Xenopus tropicalis: one gene and its partners. Each later gene encodes a partner of the first gene's protein in a complex. Links are inferred from orthologs where the notes say so. Each region holds a gene or a part of one and is shown on either strand. Other genes may lie near its edges.

The links.
Region 2: vdac1 (region 1) and peptidyl-prolyl cis-trans isomerase share a complex: the UniProt entries of both Homo sapiens proteins name them as parts of the mitochondrial permeability transition pore complex. The link is inferred for Xenopus tropicalis from reciprocal best matches to the Homo sapiens genes VDAC1 and PPIF.
Region 3: vdac1 (region 1) and spg7 share a complex: the UniProt entries of both Homo sapiens proteins name them as parts of the mitochondrial permeability transition pore complex. The link is inferred for Xenopus tropicalis from reciprocal best matches to the Homo sapiens genes VDAC1 and SPG7.

Annotation. Positions count from the first base shown.
Region 1 is NC_030679.2:22,886,510-22,891,276, reverse strand, and holds part of vdac1 (voltage-dependent anion-selective channel protein 1), read right to left. Parts: intron 4,073-4,767; coding exon 3,920-4,072; intron 3,830-3,919; coding exon 3,777-3,829; intron 2,824-3,776; coding exon 2,596-2,823; intron 931-2,595; coding exon 780-930; intron 1-779. UniProt on the Homo sapiens protein: Non-selective voltage-gated ion channel that mediates the transport of anions and cations through the mitochondrion outer membrane and plasma membrane.
Region 2 is NC_030679.2:126,259,802-126,265,300, forward strand, and holds the start of peptidyl-prolyl cis-trans isomerase, read right to left. Parts: upstream 3,462-5,499; 5' UTR 3,326-3,461; coding exon 3,257-3,325; intron 1-3,256. UniProt on the Homo sapiens protein: PPIase that catalyzes the cis-trans isomerization of proline imidic peptide bonds in oligopeptides and may therefore assist protein folding. Involved in regulation of the mitochondrial permeability transition pore (mPTP).
Region 3 is NC_030680.2:58,785,196-58,790,649, reverse strand, and holds the start of spg7 (paraplegin), read right to left. Parts: upstream 3,446-5,454; 5' UTR 3,308-3,445; coding exon 3,206-3,307; intron 1,614-3,205; coding exon 1,511-1,613; intron 1,390-1,510; coding exon 1,300-1,389; intron 1,004-1,299; coding exon 762-1,003; intron 1-761. UniProt on the Homo sapiens protein: Catalytic component of the m-AAA protease, a protease that plays a key role in proteostasis of inner mitochondrial membrane proteins, and which is essential for axonal and neuron development.

The DNA of each region.
Region 1 (4,767 bases):
AGCCACTTAGAACATTGCATATCAACATAATTGTATGTCTTTAAAGGAAAAAGAAATGTAAAAAGCACTGGGGGATGCCAAATGTTAGGCATGAGGGAGCGATCGTCTTCCTTCTTCTGTGTCTTCTACTGCTTGCACATGCATTCGAGTGAAAAGTTGAACTTTAAAAAGAAAGTTGCCATTTTCACCCTACTGCAAATGCACTGGCCCCAGGATTCAGAAGAATTAAGAAAGAAGGAAGAGGATCGCTCCCTCACAACTACCCCAGGCTGGTGCAGTTTTCTTCTAACAGAAGCACCAGCCTGGGGTAAAAGGTAAGCGATTACAATCACTGAGGGGTGCCAGACCTTTTTTGCACCCCCTCAGTGATTGTATCTTTCCTTTTCCTTTATAAGAGTATCACTTTGAACATGGAAATCAGAAATGCTTGCTTAAAAGCAATTTATGTTTGCTTGGCAAAACATATTACTCTCTTGATCCCTCTCAAGTCCAGGTTTATTTAACAAAACCAACAAATCTTATCAACATAAACTTTTACTTTGTTAAAAAGGCCCAGACATACAATGCTGTATAATAAGTCATTTTTTAGAGGTGTGGCTTTGGTTGGAACATATTCAGCCAAGTCGAGTCATGAATGACTCAACCCAGGGTTTGGCCAAAAATGAAAGCAAACTGTTCATGTAAGTTCTGGAAGTTAATACAGTAGGCCTAACAACATGAAGAGTTTTAGTTTGCCACTGATGAAGTTTATGAAGATGTGCTTCATTGTTTGTACTTACTGAAAACGAAGCATCACTATCGATTTGATATTTGGCTGCTATTCCGAAGCGTGTATTGCTGTTTCCTGCTGTCCATGCAAGGTTGATTGCAGTTTCCAGTTTATCATTAACCTTCTGATATACAGAACCACCAAACTCTGTACCGTCATTTCTGTTGGCAATATACCACAAATATTATTATTACTGGACAATTTAAAACATGCCAGCATTTTCTGCAACATTGTAAATGATCTGTACTTTTCAATAAAAAACCAATGCAAAAGGGCCCACAATGCAGTAGGGCTTACAATCCAAATAGGGATATGCGAGACACAACATATAAAATCGGTATGTTAGTGAAATGTTATGTTAATGGTTCTCACTGAGATAAAAACGTGTTACTTATAATTAGGATCAGCAAGGCTGATATGTCATTGCAGGAACTGAGGACTTTTTTTGTAGAATGTATTTTGTGCCTCTGTTCTCTGCAAATGAATTCCACAGGTATGGAGCTGCTCTGGTGTCCCTGTCCATATAAGTAAGTTACCAGGAAGCAGAAAAATCTGGAGGAATAAATGGTTGATTTGGGCTGCTCCTGTGAGAACCTTGCCTCAGGTGGCAGTGAGCAGCCAGTTACTAGGGTTGGCAAAAAGCCGCCTCTGGTAACTTTAAGAGCCAAATTTTCATTTTTTAAAACCAAAATTTGGGTCTGCTAGTGCAGACTTCTAGGTCAAGCCAAAAACATGAGAAAGGTTAGTTCTTCTGATGAAATGAACCCTAGCACATGTGCGTTGTATATACGTTATATTGTCAGCTTTATATGGGCCGAGTCTAAGTTACTTAGGGTTGAAGTTCAACCTCTCTAAACAATATTTATCTTCTATTAAAAAGTCTATGTCAAATGTCTATGATGCTTAGATATGACCAAATGCAAAAAAATATCTCAGGTACCTCATTCAGGAATCTTGGTAAACTATCCATATCTGGTATTGCTACACTTAGAAGATATGGGGCTTTCTAAATCAGATGTGTCTTTGTTTATAGTTTTTTTGGTCTATTTTAATTATGTAAAATATAAAAAATGCTATTGTGGGCAAAAAAATAAGTGCATGAATGTTATGAATAAGACCCTAAATCCTAGGAGTGCTGTGCTTGTTTCAGTATATATATATATATATATATACACAATCCATAAGATGCTCTGCAGTAGGACCCCTTGTATGTTAAAACCCATATCATTTCAGAATCCTTAACCATATTATAATATATGCATATTTATTATAGTCATATATATATTTTTTTTAATTCTGCGATACAGGTTTATATGTCACTGAAAATGTATTATTTTAGTTACCTTTAACTAGCAGCAGCCTATAAGGGGGTTAATGCCCCACTAATTGTTTTTATTAGTATGAGATAATAAAAGGATAATCCTGTATTCATTCATAATAGTCAGGGCAATGATTTGACCACAACAATGTTTTGCTATTTCTTTTTTTCACTAAATGATTTGCAATTGTCCACACCCCCTCGCAACAGTAGAAGCAATTCCTTGGCTGATTAGTATAACATTTAGAATTCATGGATATTTAGTACATTATTAATAATGCACTGTTGTTTATTGTTCATCGTTGTGGGTGTTTCACAATTTGCCATTTTTCTCATTATTACCATTACCTTTACAAGCTATTGTAGACTCAAACTAAATCTCTTGGAAAACAAAATGTTTCCCCACAGGGTAAAAGTAAAAGATCACAAAAATGTTTATGTGGATTAGCAGTGAAAGTTTTAACATTGTGCTGAATTGCTTATACAAGAAATGTTTTGTTTGACTTACACATTGGTATGCAACTGAAATTCATCAGTTTTGTATCCAACTGCAAAGTTGCTTTGGGAGACTCTGGACTTTGAGGATTCGAAAGTCATTTGGTAGCCAGCTAACCATCCCTCATAGCCAAACACTGCAGCTCCCCGCACTGATGGGCCAGCAATATCGAAATCCATGTCACAGCCAATGTTAAGGTGCTCTCGCTTGTATGCAGTCTTGACTTTTGCATTCTTCTTTCTATATAGTTTGAGAAAAGAATAAATTGGTATTAGGAATTATTATTAGCGAATAGATTCCCTTATCTGTTTTATAATATATATTGTGTGTTTTGACTTACTAAATATTCCTAATGCTATAATTTGGTGCTAATGCTTCTGAGGAAGTGTCTTTTGGCTACCAAGGGTGTCAAGCATGCACCCCCACCCCACCCCATCTGTTTACACGCCTGTTTAAGATATGTTTTATATACATATCAGTTTTACACAAAAGCTCTCCCCAGTATTCAGCGAGGATCAAATCTGGATAAAGCTTTTTTGTTTGCCAAAGTCACATTAGTTTAACCCAGTGAAATGCACTGTTTTTTCAATATTTTGAAGTGTTTGTGTAACCCAGCAAAACTTGCTAAGTTGTGTGAGGCAGAAAATCAAAGCAAAAGGTAATCCTACCAGTAACTAATAATAACACAAATAATTAATACCTCTTGCTAGTAAAGCCACACAGAGTTTCAGCCATCTTTCCACTACACTATACAGATTTAAATGTTGCCTAGATCTCATGCATAATTTATTTGTAAGCTTTACGCCTATCTATTTTCACTCACAGTAGTCCTATAAATTTACAGTGGAGCTGAGCAAGCATAAGGAGTCTGGCAAATCAGTTCCAGATGAGCTAAAAACCTATGCTATCTAGGAACATCCCTGTTGCCTGTCAGTGGCAAATTTGATACTGAAAAGAACTGGATGGTGTGGATGGCCTTTGGTTATCTGATTATGCTGAACGTTCTATAAATGTAATTATTCAGCCAGTTACAAGGATAGCTAGGACAGCAAATACGTTTACACCCCTGATTAGCCCTATGTGGAATTACCCTAATCTTTCATGCTGGGTCCCCCAGCTACTAATTCATGCTCCCCTTGGAGGGCTGTATATAATTAAAAACTCTCAGTTATTTAAGTGCAGATTCTTCTTACCCTGTGTTAGGAGAAAATGAAGAGTCAAATGTCAGCTTCAGACCCTTTGCAAGCTAAAGAGAAAACATATTATGTATTTAAATTGTAAGACATATCTTACTCACAAGTTCCAGAGTTAAATTATCTCAAATTAGGATATTTACCTGGTCTTCTACAGTGATCTCTGTCCCTAATGTGTTATCTGTATTCCACTTTTCTGTGAAAGTAAGGCCATATTCTGCCCATTTGTATTTGGTTTCCAAGCTGCCAGCAACTTTGTTAGTCTCTGCATTCGCTGATCCTGAGCTTGTAAATTCCTGTAAGTCAGAGAAGTATACACACAATATTCTGTTACTGGAAGTTGTGTAATCATGGTTCCACATGGTGCAATCCTTTTTCTGTTCACTGACGCCTATCAAACGTGAAGTGACTTGATTCCTTCGCTTATAGTGGTACACAGAACTACATGTATTAGTTGCAATATATACAATAGTTGCAATATACTTTACCTGCTGCTAATAACAGAATTATGTTAAATATGTGTCAAAAACACCATGCAAGCAGGTAATATTAGAGAATGTTATGGAAAAGCACTAAGGCACAAGGTGAGGTAAACAACCTGAAATGATTTGTGATGTTTTAAGGGTGTAATAAGAAGCGGATGTGAAAGAACTAAGCAACAGGATGTTACCACAATCATGTGCTTGATATAAAAAAAACTGCTTTATCTTCTACTAAAATAATTTGCACTTGCATTTGTCCCCAATTACAGCAGAATGACAGCTTGGAAGAACAGCCTGTAGGAAAATTTACATGGATTATATAGAAAATATCACAAAACTGGAAACCACTGGCAATTGTTTGTTGCAATTTCTTGTGACTGTGGCTTTACAATAATACAGACACATGTACAAATAATGTACTGTGGAATTGTTTGTTTTAGGTTGATGAGTTTATTTTGAAAGTGCCATTCAATAATAAAATAAAATAAAAACTTACACAGCATTTTGTT
Region 2 (5,499 bases), about 100 Mb from region 1:
TAGTTGGATGCCTTTCTAGTAAGAAAATGCATTTTTAGTTCTGATTATTTAATGCAGATATTCTAGATTAATGCCAGATGGGTCCACTTGTCAGTTATGGGGTCAGGAAGGAATTTCTATCTCCCCGTGAGGATATTTTGGCAGTCAGCCTGCTGGCAGATGGGGTGTTTGTCTTCTACTGGAACACTAGGGTGGGATTACTAGGGGCTGAACACGGGGGGCACCATGGGAGATGGTGTGAGTGCTGCACACTAACAGGCAGATACTATAGGCAAATTCATAAAACTGGAGACACAGCTGATCCGTAAAACATTCTTACAAGCAAACTGCACAGTGTTACTCCTATGTGTAAGCTCTCCCCTAAGGCAATGCAGTGGGGCCAGTGTTGCAGTCAGAAGTCAGTGGGCTCTACAGCAAACCCATTCAGTGCCCCATAAAACCTTGGGCACATAGGCTCCTTCACAATCATAAACAGAAATTTCTTATCAGTCAGGGTCCCTCTGGTCCTTCCACACTCGTGGCCCCCCAAGCAGTTACACCATGAGTGTTAATAAGGATAGCATGGCAGCACGGGCGCAATTTGGCAGTTCAGTAATAGCCTTGTTAGCGATCCTTGTGGGCTGGGGTGTGAAAGATTCTATGTTAGAACAGGCCCAATATCAAGCACAGGCTCCCACTTCTGGTCTAAATCTCCCATAATCCTCATGACTGATCTGTCCACAAACAGCAGATAAAACACTTGCGTTATAGACAAGTCAGGAGAACAGGGAGCCATTATGGGCAAGAAGACAGTACCTTAGGCAGGTAACTCCCCAATGGGCTTCTATAGGGTAAGGCAGAAAGAGAATGTGCCCTGCGCCCCTACATCACAGGGGTTCCTTTCAACTTCTATCAAGTGCTGCCATAGGATGCTGTTGGAGGTCCCTGATTTTGGCAAGTTCACTGAACTTGTCCTGTCACTGATGTCCCTGATTTATGTCAAATCCTTTAGATCATATATGTCAAACACAAGGCCCGGGGGCCAAATCCGGCCCACCTGACTGTTTTATGTGGCATTTGGTGAGTGTGTCTGGCCATCCAGCCTGATCAATTTCCATTTTCTCACATAGTAACTATGGGGTATATTTACCATGCTGTGTAAAAAGTAGAGTGTAATGTTGCCCAAGGCATCCAATCAGTAATCAGATTTCAACAGTAACAAACATCTATTGGCTGCTATGAGCAACATCACCGGTAATGCCTTACTCCCCTTTTTACACATTGTGATAAATATACCCCTTAGTATCTTACTAAGTATATTAATAAAATTTGTCCCGCGACTTAGCCTGTGTTTTAGATTTCCTTATGTGATTGAGTTTGACACCCCTGCTTTAGATGGACACCCCCCCCCCCCATCTTTAACATGGTGTTGCACCTTCATGTGAGTGAATATGACACAAGCAGGCTTAGGAGCATTACATGTTGGCGTGCAGCTGAATGAAACAAAGATAGAAGAAATGCCTGGGCCCAGAGATGGGATTGGATTCCCTCTGGCAGGGCAAGGGCGTCTAAGCAAGGTACTAAGCATCTGAGCGATTATCTCCCAGTACATCCCCAACTGGGACGGCCACTACAAAGGCAAGAGTGGGGATTACAGGTGTCTGGAATCCATCCACCCCCTGCATTCCCGGAACAGAAATATGCAATGGGCTATTTGAAATATGAAACATTAGCCCCTGCATGGCCATGTGTGGCTCTGTCTGGGACACCAGGGCTGGCTCCTCTATGCAGGGCGCTGTCATGTATTTCTCAGGCATTACAGACAAAAGGGATAGAGAAGAATAAATAGAAAGAACAAAACAACAAGCATTTGGACCCCCTGCTCTTAGCAAGTCAGTTTGGTGGGACTGGCAGGTTATGGTGTAGACTGCAGATCTAGGGGTGCTAAGGCCTCACCACAACTAGAAGGTGCAGTTCAGCAGCACAGACTCAGCTAAAGATATCAGGATCTTGTAATTGATAAAAGCTAATTGCTGGTTGGTTGCAATATGCAGAGATTTACTCCAGCCAAAATGTGGATATAGAGTAAGTCTGGTTCTATGATGACGCCATATATTTCTATATAGAGAGAAAAGAAACAATATATATGGAGTACACATGCCTCAACCAGCCTGTCCCACCGCTACTGGCACCAGGGTCAGGGCAGGTGACGGGCCCCATGGAAGGACTGTGTATACTTGGGGACAGTGGCCGTAACGCCTAAACTGGAGATAGAACAGGCTCCAGCACGACTCGGTGGGATTAATAAGGTTTAGAAAGTAAGTCTTCTGTTTAATCAGCTGGCCGCTCATCCAAAATATCCCACCCATACACTTGCATGGAGAAGCGAGGTATTTGCCCTGTTAGCATCGCCTCAGAAATGGACTGTGGCCCTGGATTTGTCACATCAGCGGCTCTGCGCTCTCTGCATATCAGGACATTAGTCTGAGCTGTGCCAGCATTCAGGCTGCTGGGTGACAATATGGGCTCCCTGCTGGCTGTGACAGGGACACTTGCCCATGGGCTGACATTCACATAGGGTAGATGGATGATGCTTGTTTCAGTTTCATACCTAAACAACATCATATTACAATGTCACTACATCTTGCCTTATTCTCCTGCATACTGTAGATGGGACTTGCAAGCCCCTCAGTGGAGTGCTGAGAGCTGCAGTTAAACAACAACTGGAGGGTTACAGGTTAAACGACTGAGACAATTTTCAATTGGTCTTCATTTTTTATTACTCATGGTTTCTGATTTATTTTGCCTTTTGTTCAGCAGCTCTCAAGTCTGGATTTTCAGCAGCTATCTGGTTGCTGGGGTCCAATTTCACTTAGCAACCAGGTAGTGGTTTGGAAAAAAAAAACAGAAATACAAATAGAGGAGGGCTGAAATAGAAATAGAAGTAAAAAAAAGTAACCATAAGACTAAAACTGTAGCCACACAGAGTAACAGTTTGAGGGTCGTGGGGTCAGTGACCCCCATTTGAAAGCTGGAAAGAGTCAGGAAGAGGAAGGCAAATAATTCAAAAACAATAAAAATGAAGACCAAATGAAAGCTTGCTAAGAATAGGCCATTCTATAACATTCTAAAGTAACCCTGAAGGTGAACAAGCCCTTTAAAGAAACGCTTCTGTACATATCAGCTATCAGAGCCCCTCAGTGAAAACATAAGATTCCCTTTAAAATCCTGTCGGATTCCCACCCCATACTGGTGCATCTCAGTGGGACATACTTACCTCCATCACTATCCGACCAAGGGGAATATCATTTGCGGATATGTCAAAAAACACTCGTTTGTTCTCCATAGCGAGGCTGCCCAGCTTGTAGAGTGAGGGGGATGCTATAGTGGGGACGGGTGGAGCCCCTGTCTTATATATACCTAGGCTTCCCCCTGCCCTAGCTGTCAGTCAGCCCTAGCTGTCAGTCACAGGGGAAAGCAGATAAGGCTCAGTAGGGCAGCCTGGCCAAAGCACTGGAACCAAGAATATTTGATACCAGCTGAGTCTATTCCTCTTCTAATCCTGTAGGATATGCTGTGGGTAGCACCAAATGCTATGTGATTAATGTGGGGGGGAGCACAGAATGAACACAATGCTATTTCCGTAACATCTCCTAGCTGGGCAGCGTTTCTTGTCCTCCTGATGGTATCAAGCAAATCACTGTGACCTCGGCTACTGTCAGTCCCCTCACAATCCAAGGCAAACCCCCAAAATAACAATGGCTAGGAGGCATTTCCCATTGGCCACCTCACTGCTCATAACAGCGCTGTGGGTCTTACGTCTCCCCAGCAGTCAGTCCCATTATATTTCTGTGGATGAAATTTGAATGTTAAAAAATCTAACACTCTTGAAAAGAAATATGCAATGGACTGTTAGACATACAAACCCAGGCTCCAGCCATTAACCCTCTCCCTCTTCTTTAATTGCTTTTTATGAGGTTAGTAAGAAGCTGGACAGTGGGGCTGTCCAGTTTATCAGTGGAATCTATTCAGATTTTGCCCCATCAACTACTGTACTGGGTCCTGTTATTCAATTTATTAAAGGGATTCTGCATGATTTTTGTGGTATAGTTTTAACTATATTACACTGTTCAGTTTGCAAATAATTCACTCTACCATTTAAAATTGTATTATTGGACCAACAAATGTATTTTTAGCTGTAATATTTGTTGTGTAGGCGCCATCTCAGTGCATTGTGCCTGAGTCTGAGCTTTCAGAAGGAGCCAGCGCTACACATTAGAACTGCTTTCAGGTAACCTATTGTTTCACCTACTCCCATGTAACTGGAGGAGTCCCAAGCCGGACTTGGATTTCTTACTATTGAGTGCTATTCTGATACCTACTGGGAGCTGCTATCTTGCTCCCTTCCTATTGCTCTGCTGATCAGCTGCTGGGAGGAGGGAAGGCAGAGTATAGCAGGTTTTTGCTTTACTAACACTATTAATATAGGTATGGTCATGTGATAACATAGGTGTGGTTTCAAGTGGGTGTTGTTTAAAAAAGGGGAGTGGTCAAAACTGGCTTCCATTATCGGCCCTCCATCAAGTAGGCCAGATAAATTCCAGCCCTCGGTACCACAGAAGTTGGACAGCACTGACTTAGGGGAAGGTATTGTACATAATGTATCGGTGTTTGCAGCCCAATTAGTTCCATCCAGGATGTGGCATCTTTGCAGCAGGATATTGACAAACTGGCAATCTGGGCGGCTAAGTGGCAGATGTGCTTTATGTGGAGAAATGTCATGCACCTGGGATGTAAAAATATGCAGCCACTTATACCCTTAATGGGGTGGGTCACCTTTAAGGTAACCTTTAGTGTGTTAAAGAATGGTCGATACTTTCACGCAACTTTTTTGAAGTTTTTGAATTATTTTCTTTCCTCTTCTGCCTTTTTCCAGCTTTCAAATAAGGGGTCACTGACCCCGGCAGCCAAAATACTATTGCTCTGTGAGACTACAGACTTGTTACTTTGTATTACTTCTCTTTCTGGCCAAGCACTCCCCTATACATATTCCAGACTCTTATTCAAATCACTGCCTGGTTGCTATGGTAAATTGGACACCAGCAGCAGATAGGTGTTGAAATTTTAAACTGGAGAGCTGCTGAACAAAAAGCTTAAATAACAAAAACAAACAAAAAAACACACAGAAAATTAAAAGTGAAGACCAATTGCAAACTCTTTAAGTGGGACTGCGCTGGGCAAATCCATAATGGAGAAAGACCTGTAAGTGGTTGTAGGTAATAAACTTGGCTGAAGCAAGCATGCCAGGCAGCAGCAGGAAGGTATACCCTTATATTAAAAGGGGCATTTATTGAAGATTAAAGCGCTGGTAAGGCCCCATATAGAATATGCTGTAGTTTTGGTTTCACCAGTATTCGGGGAAAATACATGGTTACTGAGGGTTAACCAGGGACCCTCCAGTTGCCATCTTGGAGTCAGCAAGTGACTGCAGCATGGCTATTAAACAGGGGCCTTTACATG
Region 3 (5,454 bases), on another chromosome or scaffold:
AGAATAATTTTCTTAAAATAGAGCCTATGGGAGATGACCTTCCTGTAATTCAGCACTTTCTGGATAACAGGTTTTCAGATAACGGGTCTTATACCTTTATTAAGAATAAACTGTATCACATTATTGCACAAAAATGTTTTCTTACACAGTTTTTAACAATTTAAACTATTCAGAACCAAAGCAATTCTTTTCAATTCAATGGTATTTTTAATTTTGCCACCAACATTGGAGCTGATTTTAAACAAAACTCCCTATCTGATATTGGCCTGATGATACTTATGTAAGACTGAATGAGTCCAAAAATACAGATCAGTTATTTGCGGGGGCCGGGGCGGCGTGGGATCACAAAGACACAGCCTGCAAGTGCTTCAGGAGGGGGGTGCTGACAGACAAAGCCTGGCTGGGGACGCATTTGTGAAGTAAAGAGTAGTGAGGTAAAGGAAGTGGGCATCCCTATTAAAGATGGCGGCGCTGTTCACTGAAAAGAGTATGTAGTAAATGTATCTCAGTAAATCTTTCTCTAGGCAAGCCAGAAATATAGCGTTTCTACATAGCGATAGTAGTACTATTGAATAGTGTGCTTAATTGATTTTGACTTTCCTTGTCCTTTAAACAGGCGAGTGAAACATTCTGTTGGCAATGTCATACTACAACAGTATGCTATGCAGGAAGATGAAGCATGTTTCAACAGTGTGGTAATCAATTTGTAACCTGTTTTATTTTGTTAAATGAAGGCAGAATAATACTAAACTATAACTCACAGGCCGCCCAAACACCACAGCCCCGGGATATAGGTAAATCTCCACAATGTCGCTCTCTGGCACAACCTGAACACGCATCACTTCACCCTTGGCCAGCATTTCATTCACAAAGTCGTTCCATGAGATGTTACCACCACTGCTGCTCAGGGAATTCAGCAGACTCATTATCACAGCAATGATAAAAAGAGTTCTAAGACGCTCTCTGTACATCTGATCCTCCCGTTCTCTTCTTTTCTTCTCCTCTGGTTTATAAAAGATTTTACATGGTCAAAACAAAAATTGCACAATTTTCGAATGTGGCAAACAACTGGAAATTTTTCCACAAAAAAAAAAAAAGCAGAGCACAATGATACACATATGAAAATTGAAACTGAGCATCTAATAGATTTTGGGGGACTCTGTTTTACCACTTTTATAAATAAGAGATGCATTTAAATGCACCAGGACTATTGTATCCTAAGCTCAAAGCAGAAGGGCCCTTAAAAGGACCTTTAATATATTATATCGAATGCACCTGCAAGCCTTAAAAAATCTCTACCTTCATCCTCATGTGGGGTCTTCCCTTTGGAACCTTCATTCTGATTTTCTTTATTTCCTCTACCCGATGTACTGAAATAATTTATTCCACCTGCAAATTAGCAGAAATAATGAATGGATCTAGACTACAGTGTGCAAACATGACGTTGAAACAGAAAATTCAGAATCATGTTTCAGAAAATAGTAATTATGACATAATCACGATTAATAACCTAATATCCTCCAGATTCTCAAGGGGTCCTGAATGAGATGCCGTTTTATTAAATATTCTCTCATTCCATGACTTCCTGGGGTAAGATTCCGGCACAGTAAATTCTAAAAGAAAAAAATAGTACTTTAAACATGTATAAGGATATATATAGTAAGTAAATGCTAGCAGGGTGATAATTTGCAAACAGTCATTTCATAAGGCAAAAAGGTTACGCATGGTAAGGAGATTTTCCTTTAGGTATAACATTCTACACATCAATTACAATAAATAATCAAAAGCGTAACATAAAAGTGCAAATCTAAAATTTTATTTTAGAATATACACAGGCAATTTCAGCTAGGCATGTGTACCTTAAGATGGTCCTACACTGACATATACTCTTCAGGATCTGACAAGCAGGTCCAGACTAAAATTTAAAACACATCCAGAAATTCCTATTACACAAAATCCCAAACAGCCTTAGGAACTCTCTATGGCTTTTTTATAGCAGGTATTTGTCAGAATCTACAGACTGTCAGTAAGGGCTTGCCTGCAAATCAAACAGAATATTACAGGTATGGCCACCTTTTTATTTTACCATTTGTTCAGGCCAACAGCCTAAAAGATTGGCACTACAGGATTGTAAGAGGAGCAGCAGCAATTCATCTCAATTTCCTTATCTGCCAGAATACCATCTGCTGACTAATGGTCAACAGATTCATTTTTGCCTATTTAATTGACAATTCTATGGAAATCATAGTACAAATATACTGATTGGTGTCATCTCCCCCAAATTAGACATACTGAAAATGGCATGATTGTATGATTTTATTGGTATGTACATGGCCAGATTAAATCTGGAATGTCTAGCCTGTGGCTTCCTAGATGCTGCTGGAAAACTACAGCAGGCAATTGTAGTTCAATAACACATATATGCCAGCATTGTAAACATGCATGATATAACCCAAAGTAACAGAGATTGGCCAGGACTACTTTTTTTACAAGGAAAACTGAAGGATATACTGAAATACTACACTGGTACATTTTAATAGGATCTTCTAGCCATTACCATATTATAATTTATAATCTTTCATTTTGTTTCTCCATAATAAAAGTTGAACAAACATTAAGGATAGCAATCACTGTTGTGATTCTATATCACGGGCATCTATGGCATATAACTATATACTCGGGGGCCTGGGTAGGAGACAGGACATCAGGCTTGATGGAGCTTTGACAGCTACAGCGGTCTGCAGCAGCAAGTGATTTCACTGCTACTTTTACCTTATAAAAGTTGTTGCTGCTAAAAGTTGATATATCTCCTAGCATGACATTAGTGTGGGTGGGTACTGGGAACGACAATCCCACTAATAACATTACATCACCTCTGACTCTCCTGCTAGTAATATACAGAGCTGACATTATTACTGACATTACTTTCAGGAACAAAGTTATTGAATTTCACCTTCTGGTGGTTTGGCCCTGACTTACAGGTTGCATTTCTATTTCAATTTTTCTAGAGGAAATAATGACAAAAAAATAATTCACTGGTCTGATAGCATTTATTGAAACCATCTATCATATACAGTACTGCGGGCGTACTGGAATAAAAAAAAAATACCAACATCCTGTATTGCCCATGACTGAAACCTAATTAAGTCGTTGTTTGTCAAAGAGGTTTGGGTGCCTGTGCGCTCGCTGCTTTGCCGCACACTACCTGAAGGATCCGAGACTCGCTGCACTCTGCACGGGGAACCTTCCGCCAACATCCCGCAGACCCGAGCCGAAGGCCCCGGAGAGCGAGCAACAAAATGCCCATCTCACTGCAGAGTAGGGCCAGTGACCTAAAGGCAAGGCCTCCCGGTTCGACCTACTGCACATCCACCTATCATCCAGAGCGACGCTCAGGAAATCCCACCGCACCCCGCCCACCACAGCTTTGTTCCGCCTCCGGCCCTTGTATCAATGGCGCAGTGATACTATTTGCAAAGGTCGCACAAGAGCTGTGTCACGTTATACGCGTGCGCGTATGTGTGCGATATGTTTCCTAGACGTCGACATGTAAAAAGTGCAGTGATATGTATTTCCAAGATATGTTTGGGATACGGTAAAGCCAGAGAATGCATAGGCTATCAACTATGTGTTTTATCACAACATAAGCGCTGGTCTGGTGAACAGGAGAAGTGCTTAATGTTCATATGGTGTATAGTGGGGGTTCCAACCTTTCTTACATGTGAAGCCACAGTCAAATGTAAAAAGCCTTGGAGAGCAATAAAAGCATCATAAAAGTTCATGGAGGTACAAATTAAGAGCTAAGATTGGCTATTAGGTAGCTTCTATGCACACTGTCAGCTTACAGGAGGTTTTATCTGGTAGTAAATCTTGTTTTTATTGAAACAAAACTTGTCAGGAATTCAAAACTCATTCTAACTACCTGGTTTGGGGGCACAGAGAGCAACATCCAAGGGGTTGGTGAGCAACATGTTGCCCCAGAGCTACTGGTTGGGGATCACTGCTATATACACATAGGGGCACATTCATCAAAGTACAATTGTTTCCGAATACAAAAAAAAATCATAGTTTTCGCACTGTGCGTATTCTTTGCGACTTTTTTGTTAATTTGCGCAACTTTTTCGCAATTCGGATTCATTAAAGCTTCGTTATCGTGACTTTCCTTTGGCCAAGTTGGAGCTGCAGAGTGCCATTGAGTCCTATGGGAGGCTTCCAAAAACATGCATCAAAGGATCAAAGTCAGAATTTTTCCCATTTCGGGATTTGAACTCATACTTATACTTAAATCTACACTTAAGGATGACTAAGCTACTCTTATCCAACTTATTTCATTTGATTTTTCACCGAAAGTCTATCAAATAGATGTAAAGGAGATCTCATGTCAATAAGATGGCAATTATCTGCTCTAGGCATTTTGAGACTTTTATTCTGTGTTAACATTTAGAGGCACTTTTGTTAAAGTATGAATTTTTACCTCAGTAAACCTGGTTAAAGAGCATCAATACAGCAGGGATATTTTCACAGTGGCACTTGTTTCTTAAATATTATAATGACATCATTGCTAGAATAAGGTGCTGAAAATATTGATGGTTAAAGTATGTGAATTAATTACACATAGGGGTAGATTTACTAAAACTCTAACGTTTCTTTTTAAAAATTCGAATAAACTAATTTCCACGAATGTCTGAAATTTACAAAAAAAGTCTAACATGTCATGTGCCAAGAAGTCTCAGAACCTCAGATACTTCTTTTTTGAATTGTCACACAAAAAAAACTGTCAAAAATTCAAAAACATCAAAACTTTTGAAGCAAAAAAAAAATCCTCCAGGGAAGGGACATCTGCCATCTACTTCTACATGATTTCAGCCAGTTTTAGCTGGCAAATTGCCAGATTCAGATTTTTAGCCATTTTTTCACATCTTGTAAATCTTGGGAAAAAAATCCACCGGTTAGTAAAGGGCCCCCCTATTGCTCAAAAAGCTATAATGTTTCCAAAAATAAGAAAACACTGCTCTATTACCTAGTGAACAATATAATTTAAATTACTTAGGGTAGCATATAAGTGCTCAAGCAAAATTTTACCATTTAGATGTGTAATAACACTGGTGTACTAAATCCATAAATCAATGATGTATGTGGCGATATGACACAAATAGTGATATTCTAGTGTGATTTCTGTATTTTTATGGTTTAATTTTGCTAGCCTGGACATGGCAAAATTACCTTGAGAGAAAAATAATTTTGCCCCTTGATGTGAGAAAGAATTAAGTTTACAAATAATGCAGGACTGGATCATCACATAACATGACATCACATGGTTTAGCTGATATCTATGGTGTTGTGAAATGCTGTTGTAGGGTTGCAGATTGGATATCCTCATATCAGGACTCCAGAATTGCACAGTTCCCATGATACCTTTGTGGCCATAATGGAAAATTTCAAAATGTAGATTCA